Linked DNA regions of Stegostoma tigrinum. The protein of the gene in region 2 binds, or shares a complex with, the protein of the main gene of each other region. Links are inferred from orthologs where the notes say so. Each region holds a gene or a part of one and is shown on either strand. Other genes may lie near its edges.

The links.
Region 1: tert (region 2) and dkc1 share a complex: the UniProt entries of both Homo sapiens proteins name them as parts of the telomerase holoenzyme complex. The link is inferred for Stegostoma tigrinum from reciprocal best matches to the Homo sapiens genes TERT and DKC1.

Annotation. Positions count from the first base shown.
Region 1 is NC_081368.1:49,361,628-49,368,948, reverse strand, and holds the start of dkc1 (H/ACA ribonucleoprotein complex subunit DKC1), read right to left. Parts: upstream 3,022-7,321; 5' UTR 2,933-3,021; coding exon 2,917-2,932; intron 1,713-2,916; coding exon 1,660-1,712; intron 1-1,659.
Region 2 is NC_081355.1:13,889,980-13,897,257, reverse strand, and holds the start of tert (telomerase reverse transcriptase), read left to right. Parts: upstream 1-4,276; 5' UTR 4,277-4,287; coding exon 4,288-4,506; intron 4,507-7,278. UniProt on the Homo sapiens protein: Telomerase is a ribonucleoprotein enzyme essential for the replication of chromosome termini in most eukaryotes. Active in progenitor and cancer cells. Inactive, or very low activity, in normal somatic cells.

The DNA.
Region 1 (7,321 bases), on a different chromosome or scaffold from region 2:
GGCATAGACTGGTTGCGCCAAAGGATTGGTTTCCATGCTGAATGACTATGGCTGTCCTGCCTTTACTCAAATCCTTGATTCCCTCACTAAAAGTATCTTTCCTTGTCTTGACTATTTTTAATGGCCCAGTCCACTGTGGTGAAGAATTCCAGATTCACTACCCTCACAAAACAACCTCTCGAGAGCAACTGTCAAGAAACATTTACTGGCAAAGGAGTCACCTCTTATTCTTCTAACTCCAGTGCGTGCAGGCCCCAAGCTGACTGAACCTCTCCCCTTTATGAAATGTCTCCATACTCAAAATGCCAATCTAGTGACCTTTTTCTGGACTGCCTTCAATGCCAACGCATCTTTCCTCCGATTACAGCATCCAAACTTGAGCCCAATATTCTAGGTGTAGTCTAACCAGTCGCTGGCATTGTTTCGCCAAACTTCCCTACATTTATACTCCATTCTCTTTGATGGACAGACCACAATTTCATTTTCCTTCCCCATTACTGGCTGAATTTGTATTCAAGTGTTTTTGTGATTAATGCAGGAGTGGCCCTAAATCCCAGTGCTGCCCTCCCTGTATTTCTCCTTTTCAAAATATTCAATATGTTTCTTTCCAAAAATGCACAACCTCATTGTATAATATCGGTAAGTTTCTGCACTCACTTAATATGTCAACTTATCTCTACAGACCTTTTTTCTTTCATCATTAATGGGATGAGGGTGTCGTTGGTTAGACTGCCATTAATTGCCATCCCTAACTGCCCAGAGGGCAGTTCAGACTCAACCACATGGCTGTTGCTCTGGAGTCACAGGTAGACCAGACAAGGTAAGGATGGCAATTTCCTTCCCTAAAGGACATTATTGATAATGGATTCGTGGTCATCATTAGATTCTTAATTCCAGATATTTCACTGAATTCAAATTCCATCATCTGCCATGGTGGGATTTAAACCCGGCTCCCAGAATTTTATCTGGGTCTCTGGATTGCCTGTCCAGTAATAATGCCACTAGGCCATCACCTCCCTTTGTGTGTCATCAAAATCATTAACAGATTGTAAACGGTGGTCCCAGCACTGATCCCTGTGATAGTTATAGTTTGACATCCTTAAAATCCTTATCTCAACACTATCTTCAATTTGTTAGGCAATCTTTGATTCATGCTAATGTACTACTCACTACCATGGGCACTAAGCATCATGAAAGAATTCAAGTAAATGTCAGGCATGCCTCTATTTGAATTTAGTATGTATTTCTAAATATGTTTCTACTACGCACGTTAAAATAAACTTTTCCCAATTACATATGTTAATCCAACTACCTACAGTTATCTGGCTTTGTCTCCATTCCTTTTATGCTGGAAATGTTGGAAAACTGCCAATCTCACCCAGGACACTTCCAGAATCTAAGCACTGTTGGAATTTTACTGCCAGTGCCTCCAACGTTTCTGTAGCTCCTTCCTTTAACATCTGAGATTGCTACCCATCACATCCAGGGAATTTAATCGGCTTTCAGACCCATGGATTTCCCTTCCAACAGAGATTGCATTAATGTCACCTCCAAGGCTGCTCCCACATTTTGCTCCTTGCTTCACTTCTTGGACAATTTCAGACAGTAGTAGGAATTCATTTTTGCACTCAATGCTAGATATGAAAATAAAATTATTACCCCAATTCCTTCTCCATTTTTCTTCCTTTGCTTCTTCTGTTTTTTAATAGATGCTGCAAACAACAAACAGGGATGGTTAGAATCCCTCAATAAACTGAAGATTCAAGTCATTGGATGTACTCCCACATTGGAATATTTCAAACAGTAAAAACACCGTACCAAAACGCATGCACTTATTAACAGTTTTTTTAAACACTTTCAGACAATCAAAAGCAAGTTACTATCTGTTGCCATATGGTTGTTTCCTCAGACATAATGCAGTAGGTTCAGTACACAAGCAAAATCAATGCTGCTGGCCAAGGAATCCAAGGTAGGTGAACAGAAGGCTAGAAGAACACAACAAGCCAGGCAGCATCTGAAGGAAAGGAAAAGTCAACATTCTGGATAATACCCTTCTTCCACGACTCATGTCCAAGGGAGGCAGAAAACATCTTCAAAATGGGTATCCTTTGAAGGGACTTTGCAGTGGTATAAACTTAGTTAGAGACAAAAAAAACTGCAAATGCTGTAATCCAAGGTAGGCAATCAAGAGGGTAATACCCGAAACTTGACCTCTCTTTTCCTCCAGATGCTGTCTGGCTTGCTCTGTTCTTCCCGCCTCTTGTTTGTCTACATTAATTAACCAGCTAGAGTTTACATTAAGTGAATTCTGGACTCGTTATAGAAGGCTAATATGAATTCAATCACGGGGCAGAAAATGATGCTCATGAAATTCGTGTGTAAGATAATAATGCACATTATGATTGAAATCGCCTGTCTAACTGCTACGGCATTTAATCTCAGAAGGCAGCTTGCCAACCGCGTACTTGTAGTTGTGAAATGGAAATGGAATCTGTGGCTGGAAACTCGTGGCGACGACAAACAGCAAACCGAACTGCCAGGCCCGGCGCCAAACGTGGGGACCACGTGTTCGGCGCCGATTAGCGCCAGGTGCCTGTTCCCATCCATCCAGAGTCCAGGGCAATGCTGGCGATATCCCCCAGCCACCAGGAAACCACCGACATTCAAAGCAAACACCAAAAGTGGGGGAGGGAGTTGCTGCGAGTTACAAGGGGCGCGAAAACCGTCTCCCCTCTACAGGCCGCGGCCTCTACCTCCCTCCCGGCAGTAAGCAATGCCCTGAAGCCGCCGTGACTCCGGCTTCACTCTCTCTCTCTCTCTCCCCTCAAACAAGTCTGCAAATTACAGATCGTTCTCTGCAGCCGCCGTATTAATTCTGACTCCTTACCCCCACCCCGGACAAACAATGCCCTTTACCATCTCCACCCGCCATCTTCTCGCTCCGATCGCCAAGTGAAGAAACGCGCTCCACTCCGCGCAAGCCAATTAAACACCCGCCCCACAATGCACTACTGCGCGCATGTCAATTATAAGGGGGGGATGGCGGAGGATGGAAGACGGCGCATGCCCAGTCTATAAGAAGAGCCTGTTAATGGTGGAAAATCTGAAATATAGCTACCCGCTAAAAATATAGAAATATTCGGAAGGGCAGGATTTTGACCCTATTGTCGGAACGGTAAAGTGTTAGTATACACGTTTCTATACACATTTACGAAAAGGGGGGGGAATATTAAAAGTCAGTGATCAGCTGGAAGCAGGAGAAATTAGAAGACGAATGATGGTGCATAGTAAATGAAATCAGACATAAAAACAAGATCAGTCTAACGGAGACGTAAATGGGATTAGCATGATTATCACCGAATGCTCCTGGATAAAATACATGCAGTATTTATAGAATCGTAGAATTTCCAACAGTGGAAGCAGGGCAAACGGCCCATCGAGTCCACAACGACCCTACGACGAGCATCCACCCAGACTCACCTCGCTACCCTACATTTCCCATAGCTAATTCACCCAGGCTGCACATTTGTGGAGACTATGGGCAGTTTAGCATGGTCAGTCCACCTAATCTGCACAGCGTTGGACTGTGGGAGGAAACCGGAGCTCCTGGAGGAAAAGCATGCAGACAAGAGACAATGTGAAAAACCACACAGTCACCCGAAGGTGGAATCAAATTCAGGTCCCTGGTGCTGTGAGACAGCATAGCTGACCACTGAGCCATTGTGCCACACATTATGATCAATCTGCTGAACTCAAGAGGGAAGAAGGTTGTAAAGTGTCTCAATATTTGAACTGGTATTTCTTAAACTTGGGTTGGCTCATTAAATACCCAAGTTCAGAGAGATCAGAAGGGAATGGGGAAGGGAAATTATTTCTGCAGTCCAGACTTGACAGAAGTTTTCTAAGGACTCCCCATTTGGTTCCAGATCTACCTCTACAGATAATTTAAATCAATTTATTGCTAATTTGGGATATGAGGAAGGGTGCTTGTAGTGCTGAATCCCTATCACTGAGCCAGGAAACCTAGGTTCAAGTCTCACCTGTTCTGGAAGTGTGTAATAACATTTCTGAATAGGTTGATTATGTCATTATTATATCAGAGGCACCATCCCATACCTTTATTCTTCCTTAACTAGCACAAGACAGAGTCAGAAATCACCACTTGAATTAGAGTGTGCGCATATACTTGTATATCAGTCTATCCAAACAGCATTCAATCTCAGCCCATGAACTGCACTCTGCTTGATAACAACAGACAAGAGAAGCAAAGAGTTCATTCTGCTGCTAACATTAGTCTCAGCATCATGAGCCTCAATTTTGCAGCAATCATGTCTGTGCCAGTTATCAAAACCCTTCAACTTCTGTATGCTATGGTGTTTTAAAGTGATCATCAAAATACTTCTGAAATATTGTGGTAATTTGTGCAGCTGCCATGTGCTTAGAGACTGAGTTGCAGACAGCTTCTGCTTGAAAAAAACTTCCTTAAATCCCTCTAAACCTCTTGCCCCTTTCTTGAAATCTATGCACTGTTGTTCTTGATTCTTCTCGAATGTAGAAGTTTTGTGTATTTAATGATGCTCAATTTTGTCCAACTCAGTCAGATTCCCTTTCAGACTTCTCTGGTCGTCATCTCTACCTGAGTCCACACAGACTTTTCACTGTACTAAAGTGTGTTGTGAAAAGTGTATTATGTCACCAGAGGTAAAGCCATCTTAGGTACAAAAAAAAAACTTAGAGTTGAAAAGTTAACCATTACCTTCATCAAGTAGAAAAATAAATCTAATAGTTTAAATTTTAAAAAGACTTTAATGTTAACTAGAAAATAAGGAATTAGGTTAGAAGTTCTTATAAACTCCAGTCACAATTTATTAACCTTAGTGACTGCCAACCATCTTCAGCATAACTACCAACTTTGGCAAGAGTCTCCATTTTTGTCCACTTGTGCTGAAGTTAACCTGACATGCACTTGCAATAGATACTTCTACATCTCAACAGAATTAGTACTCAGCACCAGCATAAGTTTCACATTAAAGTATGAAAGAAAGACATGTTCAGTTGAAATGTTTTGTGTAGAGAAATGGCCGAGTGGCTTTTACATAGAGAAAAATGATTGTGCTTCATTACAGAGGGGCCGTAGAAGCAAAGAAATTGAGAACTCTAGAAAATACCACATTGAAAATGTTTTGAGGTTTCATCCTGAAGTGACATTTGGGGCCTTGGGGATCCATGGGGCTACACAGCACTGTTTTCCCCCTCTTGCTCAAATGGACAATATTAACAACTTTGTCTCCAATTTCTACCTCCTTCCCGTTCACAAGGTTCATCTCAACCCTTTCCCTTTCTCAATTTTTAAATTTCTATTTCCTCAAATAAATTACTGACCAATATTCACCATTATGCCACTGGTCTCATACAGGTATCTCAAGTACCTTTCCTCCCACCCCAAACGAGGAGCTGTTATTCCATTTTTCCATTCTTTATGTTTTTATTTCACCATTTTAGAATTTAGACAGGAGCAACAGGAATCCACTCAGCCCCTTTATTCTGCACAGTCAGCCATGAATAGCATACCTGATCTTTGCATCTCGATCAGCTGTGTTGAATGAACTTATCCTCAGCAATCTATGAAATGATGAGTTTATAAAATTTCAGAAGATTCACAACTCTTCATAAAAGAGTGAAGAAATTTCTCCATCCTAACTGTTAGCTCCGTAAGACAAGATCGTGAAGGCCCCTCATTCTAAATTCCCCAACCAGAGGTAAAAACATCCTCCAAACATGTACATTGAATGTTTAACATTCTTAAAGAAACTTAACATCGAGGTACATGCAAACAAAGGGGTAGGCAATTCAACTCAGATCTTGACTGCCATTTCATAAGATTATGTCTAATCTTATTGTCATCTCAAATCCACATGCCCTTCTATTTATGATAACCTTTCACTCTTTTGCTTCACGAGAATCTATCATCTCTGCTTTAAAAATATTAACAGCACTGCTTTCACTGCCTTCCTGAGCTGGTAATTAAAAAAGACGTGACTTCCTTAAAAAAAAATTGGCTCATCTGTTTTAAATGGGAATAAGTTAATTTCTAAACAGTGACACCTAGTTCTGGAGCAACTCTTTCTTCTAAACTGCAGGTATATGGTCTGTTTGTTCTCGGTTAATCCTGAGAGATCACTGGTCTGTTTTTTTGTTCAACATAGAAAGTAGGAGATAGAATAGCCCATTTGCCCCCTCGAGTCTGCTCCATCATTCATTTTGATCATAACTGATCATTCAACTCAATACTGTATGTTCTCCCCACCACTCCCTGTATGCCCAAGTGCAATATGCAATTCGTTTTTAAACTTGTACAATGTTTTGGGCTCAACAGCTTCCTGCAGTAACAGATTCCACAGGCTTTTTACTCTTTGGGTGATGAAATTTCTCCTCGTCCAAGTACTAAATGGTTTACCCCATATCCTTAGACTCTGATCCTTGCTTCTGGACTTCAAAAGCATCAGGAACATTCTTTCTGCATCTACTATGTTTAGTCCTGTTAGAATCTTAAGATTCTATGAGATCACCCCTGAACTCCAGCAAATACAATCCAACTGATTCAACCTCTCCTCATATTAGTCCTGCCATTCATATGGTGAGCTTTCACTGCCCTCCATCTAAAGCAAGAGCATATTCCCCAGACAGGGAGGCCAAAACTGCATATAATATTCCTGATGGGGTCTCACCAAGGCCCTGTACAATTGCTGCAAGACTTCTCTGCTGCTGTGCTCAAAACCTTTTGTTCTAAAGGCTAACATATGATCTGCCTTCTTTACTGCTGGTTGCCTCTGCGTGTTTACCTTCTGTGACTGGTCTATGAGGACAAGCAGGTCACATTCCCTTGTTCAGTTCATAGCCATATTAAAGCTATCCCATCTTCCAAGGCCAGTTTAAAAGTATTTTTAAAATCAACATGTTCATATATATGAAATGTCTAGGGCTGTTAGGATTTGGACAATCCTTCTGGCTCAGAGATAGGCACTCTACAGCTGCGCAATAAGACCCTCTCCCAAGGCACATATACCTTTCCTAACAAATTGTACAGAACATTCATGTACAATTGTACTGCTCATTACCAATGAGCTGAATGGTTGTAGTAGATTTATTTATTTTTGCATTCCAATCCATTTATAGACTAGCAATATTTGCATATCTACATTATTTTCTGTACCTAAAAAGTTCATTTCGTGACTCATGCACAAGAACATGCAGCTTCCTCTAAATGCAATATTTCTCAGTCTCTTACAATTCTAAATATTTCATTTTTTTCTTGAAATGA
Region 2 (7,278 bases):
ATGCTAGATTCTAATACTGATCTGGAGTTCATATAACATGCAAGCCTCTGGAAACACCTTGTCAACTGGTATATTCTTGACAAGCACTAATTTCCTAGCAAGTGCCCTACTAGTAACCTCAACTTTCACAGCAAGAGACAAAGATCCTTAGACAGCACCTTCCAAACCCATGACCACTTCCATCTGGAAGGACAAGGGAAGCAGATACATGGGAACATAACCACCTGCAGGTTCCCCTCCAAGCCACTCACTATCCTGACTTGGAAATATATTGCTGATCCTTCATGGATAATGGGTCAAAATCTTGGAACTCCCTAGTGACATTGTGGGTCTACCTACAGAACATGGACTCCAGCAGTTGAAAAAGGCAGCTCACCACCACCTTCTCAAGGGCAAGTGGGGATGGGCAATAAATGCTAGCCCCTGGGAAGTGTATTTTTATACATCTTTTGTGGAAAGGTTTTGCAATATTCAGTCCACATCTGAGCACTGTGTCAGCACAACTAATAATAAAGTATTTCTGATTCTTGACCAATAGAAAGACTGCTTGTGGCTTTTCTGCAACAACCCAACTTAGATCCTGATTTAAAAATTCTGCACTCGGGTCATTTTGTTTAGCCAGTCTCCCAGTTTTGGCTTCTGTTTGCTACTAGTGCTAGTTTCGCTGGTGTCTAAATGAACACTGTATCCCCATCACAGCCTCAGTGTATTCTTAAAACTACAGTATATTATTTTGAATAGTTGAAAGATTGAACACCCCAATAATATACACAAATTAAAGCTCTTCATCTTTAAACTAGTGTGCAATACAAATTAATGACATTCCTTATTAATGAGGTGAAATCTGAAACTTTCTTTCACTGCATATTTTGAAAATTTTTTTAACTTGAAAACCAATAAATCCTTGCAGACCTCTTAATATAATATATTAATATTAATGAAAGAAGGCCCTTTGTGACTATGTCTGAATTAATGTTGAGATCAACATGCTGTGGCATTTTTTTTCATTTGTATAGAATATGCATTTGAGAGGAATATTTTAAATATCAACTTTCGGAACCAGATTTATCTGCTTATCTAGGTATTCCATTTTGACAATGTGCATGCTAAAAAAATTTGGAAACATTAAAAAATAAACAATTTGGGACAGCAGGGAAGGATGTACACTGAGTTGGCATGTTAATAATTATGTTATCAAAATTACAGTTCTAGGCCAGGACATTGAACTGATACTAGGAAATTTACTGTTACACTTAATGGATCAGATTAAACAGAATCTGATGTTGCCATGGCCACCTGCAACTAAATTTGCTCATAACTCCTAGGTGGTAATCTATCACCAAAATTTTATTTCCAGAGGGAAAAATTTAAAAAGCAAGTAGTTCGTACAGATCCATTTCTGAATTGCATTCATAGCATAATGAACAGTTCTAGTCTTTTTGCTACAAAATAAGTATGACGTTACTGAGAAGCACATAAATGACTTACAAAAAGGATAACAGAATTTAGAGAATATATCAGGTTGAACATGATGGAGAAAAGAGGAGGCTGAGGAGAGATGGGCATTTAAAATTATAATAGGGATTCATGAGAGTAGTCTGAGAGATTCTATCTGCGAGGCAGACAAAAGTAGTGGCCATAAATGTTACTAATAAATCCATTAGGAAAGTCAAGAAAACTTTCTTCACCTGCAAAGAAAAATAATTTATTTTATAGAGTGTTCTGCCCAGCCACTGAGCACCTCAAAGCACTTTTATCACAAATTACATATTTTTGAAGTTTAGTCATCAATATGTGATATGCAGCAGCCAATTTGCACTCCCAGAAACTGGAAATGACCAGGTGATCTGTTTTTGCGATGTTGATTGAAGGATACATTTTGATTGGAACACTGAGCTAACTTTTTTCTTCAAAATTATGGCAAGCAATCATTTACTTCCACTAGAGCAGGCAGAGAGCCTCGGTTTAACATTTCATAAAAGGATGCAATCTTGCGTATGCAGCACTGCCCCAGTACTGCACTGGTGCGGCAGTCTGATTTTAATTGTGCTGAAAGGCTGGTGTGTAACCTAAATTTGGAACCATTGATTCAGATCAAGAGTGATACAAATGAGCTCCAACTCCCAGTAGTGAGTCATTAATGAAACCAAAGGGAAATTCAGGAGTGTGTTAATATCATGATCATGTTCTGACAGCATTAGACAGATGGGGAGCAGACAGCTTACTGGCACAACCTGTTGAACATTTATTAACTATTTATACTAATGTGCGGAGACATAACAGGTAAATAAATATATGAGAGTGATTAAGGGTAACTCGGTTAGTTTGATCCAAAATTGGCCTATTAGCAGGAGACAGGGTGGGGGTGGTAGAGGTAGGGACAAACCAGTGGCATACCACAGTGATCAGTGCTGGGTCCCTTATTATTTGTGATATATGAAGATGAAAATGTGGGGAAGGAGGGAGAGGATGATAAATGTGCAGATGCCACAAAGATTATTCAGTTAATTGTCAGCAAGGAAGATGGTCTTAGGTTCTGGGAGGATATAGACAGATCGGTAGAACAGTGGCAGATGGAATTTGACCCTGATAAATGTGAGGCGATGCACTTTGGAAGAAGGAATAAGATGAGGGAGTACTCCGAGACTGGCTAGATGCTAGGAAGCTCAGAGGAATCTTGAGCGTGTTTGTCTACAGATCCCTGAAAGTGGCAGGACGTATTAATGGGATTGTTAAGAAGGGATGTGGGACACTTACTGTATCAGTTGAGGCATGGAATATACGAACACAGAGTTTTGAGTTGGAGCTGTACAGAACTTTGATTTGGCCACTGCTGGAGTACTGTGTCAGCACACTATTGGATGGATATGTTTGCACTGGAGGGGTGCAGAGGAGATTCACCGGAACAGAGTCATAGAGGCTTACAGCATGGAAACAGACCATGTCCAACCAGTCCACACCCACCATGTTCCCAAAATAAACTCGTCCCACCTGCCTGGGCTAGGCCCATATCCCTTCAAACATTTCTCATTCATGTTCCTATCTAAATGTCTTTTAATCATTGTAACTGTACTCTCATCCACCACTTCCTCTGGAAGCTCATTCCACACGTGAACCACTCTGTGCAAAAAAGTCACCCCTCATGTCTTATTTAAATCTTTCTCCTCTCACTTTAAAAATATGTGCCCAAGTCTTGAAATCCCGCACCCTAGGGAAACACACCTGCCTTTCACCTTATCTATACCCCTCATGATTTTATAAACTTCTTTAGGGTTACCCCGTGATTTCCTATGCTCCGGTGAAAAATGTCCCAGTCTATCCAGCCTCTCCTTATAATTCAACCCCTCCATTCCCGGAAACATCCTGGTAAACCTTTTCTGTGCCCTCTGCAGCTTAGTAATATCCTTCTTATAACAGGGGGTCCAGAACTGGACACAATATTCCAGAAAACACCCCACCAATGTCCGACACAACCTCAAAATCATATCCCAGCTTCTGTACTCAAAAGTCTGAGCAATGAAGGCAAACATACTCAATGCCCTCTTAAGTTACATGTGATGCAAACTTCAAAGAATTATATTCCTGAACTCCTGGGTGTCTCAGTTGGACAGCACTACACTTTTAATTGTATAACTCCTGGCCTTGTTTGTTTGGTTGCCCGGGATGGAGTGCTTTAGCTGTGAGGAAAGGCTGGATAGGTTCATGGTGTTTACTTTCAAGAAGAAAAAAATTGAGGGAGGGGACAAGATAGAAGTGCATGAGGGTAAAAGGGCATGAACAGGCACCGAAACGTCAGCTTTTGTGCTCCTAAGATGCTGCTTGGCCTGCTGTGTTCATCCGGCTCCACACTTTGTTATCTCGAATAGAAAGCAGTTGTTCACTTTAGGTGAAGTGTCAGTAACAAGGTGGGGTGGGAGCGTGTGTAATTTTGAGTGAAGGCTGGAGGTTTTGAGGGGACTTTCAGGAGGAGAGACTAATCACCCAGAGCGTGATGGTAATGTGGGAGGTTAATTGAAGGGTGTAATCTCACGACCTTTTGGATGAGCATTTGAAACGTCATAACATCGAAGGCAATGGGACGAGTGTAGATTTCAGGTAGCGTTTGGCGGCAGAGACTGGATGGGCCAAGGGGGTCTCCCCTGCACTGTGCTAGTTTCTGGATCCAATGAGAGGATGGGTGGTGGGAGGAGATTGGATGCTGTGGGTCGGGCGGGAGGAAGTGCGAGCAGATTGTGATCGATGAGAAGGGGGTTGGTTGCTGAAGTCTCAGTGAGAAAGGGGTGGACAATGGAGGAGGCCAGGCTGTTCGGGCTGTTGGCCTCCGTCTATCCCTCCGTGCGCCGCCTGCAGCAGTTCGTTGCGGAGATCAGCGAAGCGGCAGGAGTCGCGCCGCCGGCTTTGCTGGAAAGCAGCGACAGCGGGCACTACCGGCGCTTCATCTCCCAGCTCATCGTGTGTGTTCCCGGGGAGGCAAAGGCTGTGTGCCGGCCGCTCACCTTTCAGCAGGTACGGGGCTAGGCAGACAGCTCCCGGCAGCACTAAAGCGCCCGGCACCTTCCGGAGCCGAAGTGCCGTTGCTTTATGTACAGGGGCACATTTGGGGAATAACAAGCCGGAGAGGCTCGGAACGGCGCAAAACCCCCCCGATCCCAGGCCATGTTTCTGCGCTAGGGCTTCCTGAAATTCAGCGCCGGATTTACGCAGCGCGCAATCTTAAGGGTAAAAAGGCATTTCGTATGCACCACGTTCACGTTTTTCTAACACCCTCCCCAAAAGTAAAAGTTGAGTCAAAGGGGGATTTGGCGCGATTAACGTTGACACTATTCCCCCCCATACCCCGTGTCTCTAGGCAGCATGCTGTGAAAACTCACTCAGTTTCCAGCTGTACTCCTCACCACCTCCCCCACTTCTCCACTCCCCCCCCCCCCCCCCCGCCAGGTTAGAGGTGGTCTCGGCTGTTCGGTCCAACCCAGGCTGAGCAGAAATCCCCACCACTTTAAACATTAAGTCAGCAAAAACCTTCCTTTAAAGTCTCCGTTGCAATCTCCATTCTGTATTCACCAACTACACTAAAAAAAAGCAAGGAAGTGCTGGAGAAACTCTGTCGGCCTGTCTTTCTCTCAGTCGCTGAAGTAGGAACGAAGTCACCAAAGCAAAATACTGTAGGTGCTGGAAATGTGAAACAGAAATTGCTGGAGAAACCCAGCCAGTCTGGCACCAGCTGTGGAGAGAGGGAGAGGAAGAACAGTTATTGTTGCAAGTCCAGTTTGACTCTCTGGAATTCAGCCCCACAGTAGCGTTTGACAAGGGACCACCTGCACTCGAAACATTAACCCTGTTTCTCTCTTTGTAGATGCTACCAGATCTGCTGAGTTTCCTTTCTGTTTCTGTAGCTTTACTCCTATCACAGCGACTGTGTGAGGCTATTGCAACCTTGGGTCTATATTTCACCCAAGATGAGCTTTCAGTATTTTTTCATATTCATTCGTGGGATATGGGTGTCGCTGGCTAGGCAGCATTTATTGCCCACGTTGCTGGGGGTCTGAAGTCACATATAGGCTAAACCAGGTAAGGATGGCCTTTTCCTTCCTTAAAGGATATTAGTGAACCAGAAGGGGTTTTTCCCAACAATCGACAATGGATTCATGATATCATTAGATTCTTAATTCCAGATATTCATTGAATTCAAATTCCAACATGTGCCATGGCAGGATTTGAACCCAGGTCCCCCAAATCATTATCTGGGTCTTGGGATTAATAGTCCAGTGATAGTACCACTATGCCTTGCCTCCTTCCCCCCCCCCATCCAGACGTCAGTAAAGCTGGTATTTCCACTTTGCCCATCCCTGCATCTGTCTCAGCTCCTCTTGCTGCCTCTTATCTATGCCATTGTTACACAACCTCCTGACGATTCCACTCCTGCTTCATCTCCCACATCACCTTCAGTGAACTTCAGGTGGTCCAAACCTCCACTGTATCTACTAACATATACCAAGTACCAGTCACACACTACACCTAAGCCATGTGACCTAAATTTGTTTGACATTTCAGGTCAGGACCCTTCTTCAGACCCGAAACATCAAACTTTCCTGCTCCTCTGATGCTGTTTTGTCTGCTGTGTTCATCCAGCTTCACACCATGTTATCTCAGATTCTCTCTCATTGGCAGTTCCTACTATCTCTGACCTAAATTTGTTTTTGATTAAACAATGCCAGCCTTCTGCAGGATGATTGACCAGGTGATGGTGGGGAGGACATGGCCTAGTGGTATTGTTACTGGACTGCTAGTCCAGAGACTCGGCTAATGTTCTGGAGACCTGGGTTTGAATCCTGCCATGACAGATGGTGGAACTTGAATTTGATTTCTAAAAAAAATAGGAATTAAGAGTCTGATGATGACCACGAAGCCATTGTCAATTGTAGGGAAAAACCCATCTGGTTCACTAACAACTTTTAGGGAAGGAAACTTGTCCTTACCTACATGTAACTCTTAGTTGCCCTCTGGACAATTGAGAATGGACAAATGCTGGTCTAGCCAGCAACACCCTCATCCTGTGGATGCATTTAAAGAAGGTGTGTCCTGCTTTTAACAGGTGGTGAGGTTACGCCAGAATTAGCTGGCAATCTCATTTCAGTTCACCACAATGAGAATTACTGCAACTCGGAGATGGCATTCAATATAGATTCAAGATGCCACAGATACATATGAACAAGGAACAGGAGGAATTGAGTTTAAGAGCCTTGATGTTATGCTGCAGCTCTATAAAGCTCTGGTTAGACTACACTTGGAATATTGTGTTCGGTTCTGGTCAGCTCATTATAGGAAAGATGTGGAAGCTTTAGAGAGGGTGCAGAGGAAATTTACCTGGAGGCTGCCTGGACTGGAGGGCAGGTCTTATGAGGAAAGGTTGAGAGAGCTAGGGCTTTTTCCATTGGAGTGAAGAAGGATGAGAGGTGACAGAGGTTTACAAGATGATGAGAGGCATAGATAGAGTGGATAGTCAGAGACTTTTTCCCAGGGCAGAAATGCCTATTACAAGTGGGCATAATTTTAAGTGATTGAAGGAAGGTATAGGGGAGATATCAGGGGCAGGTTCTTCACACAGAGTGGTGGGCGTGGGGAATGTGCTGCTGGTAATGGTAGTGGAGTCAAATACTTTAGAGACTTTTAAGTGACTCTTGGATAGGCACATGGAGGATAGTAAAATGTAGGGTATGCAGGATTGAATGATCTTAGAAGGATAATAGGTCAGCACAAAATCGTGGGCCGAAGGGCCTG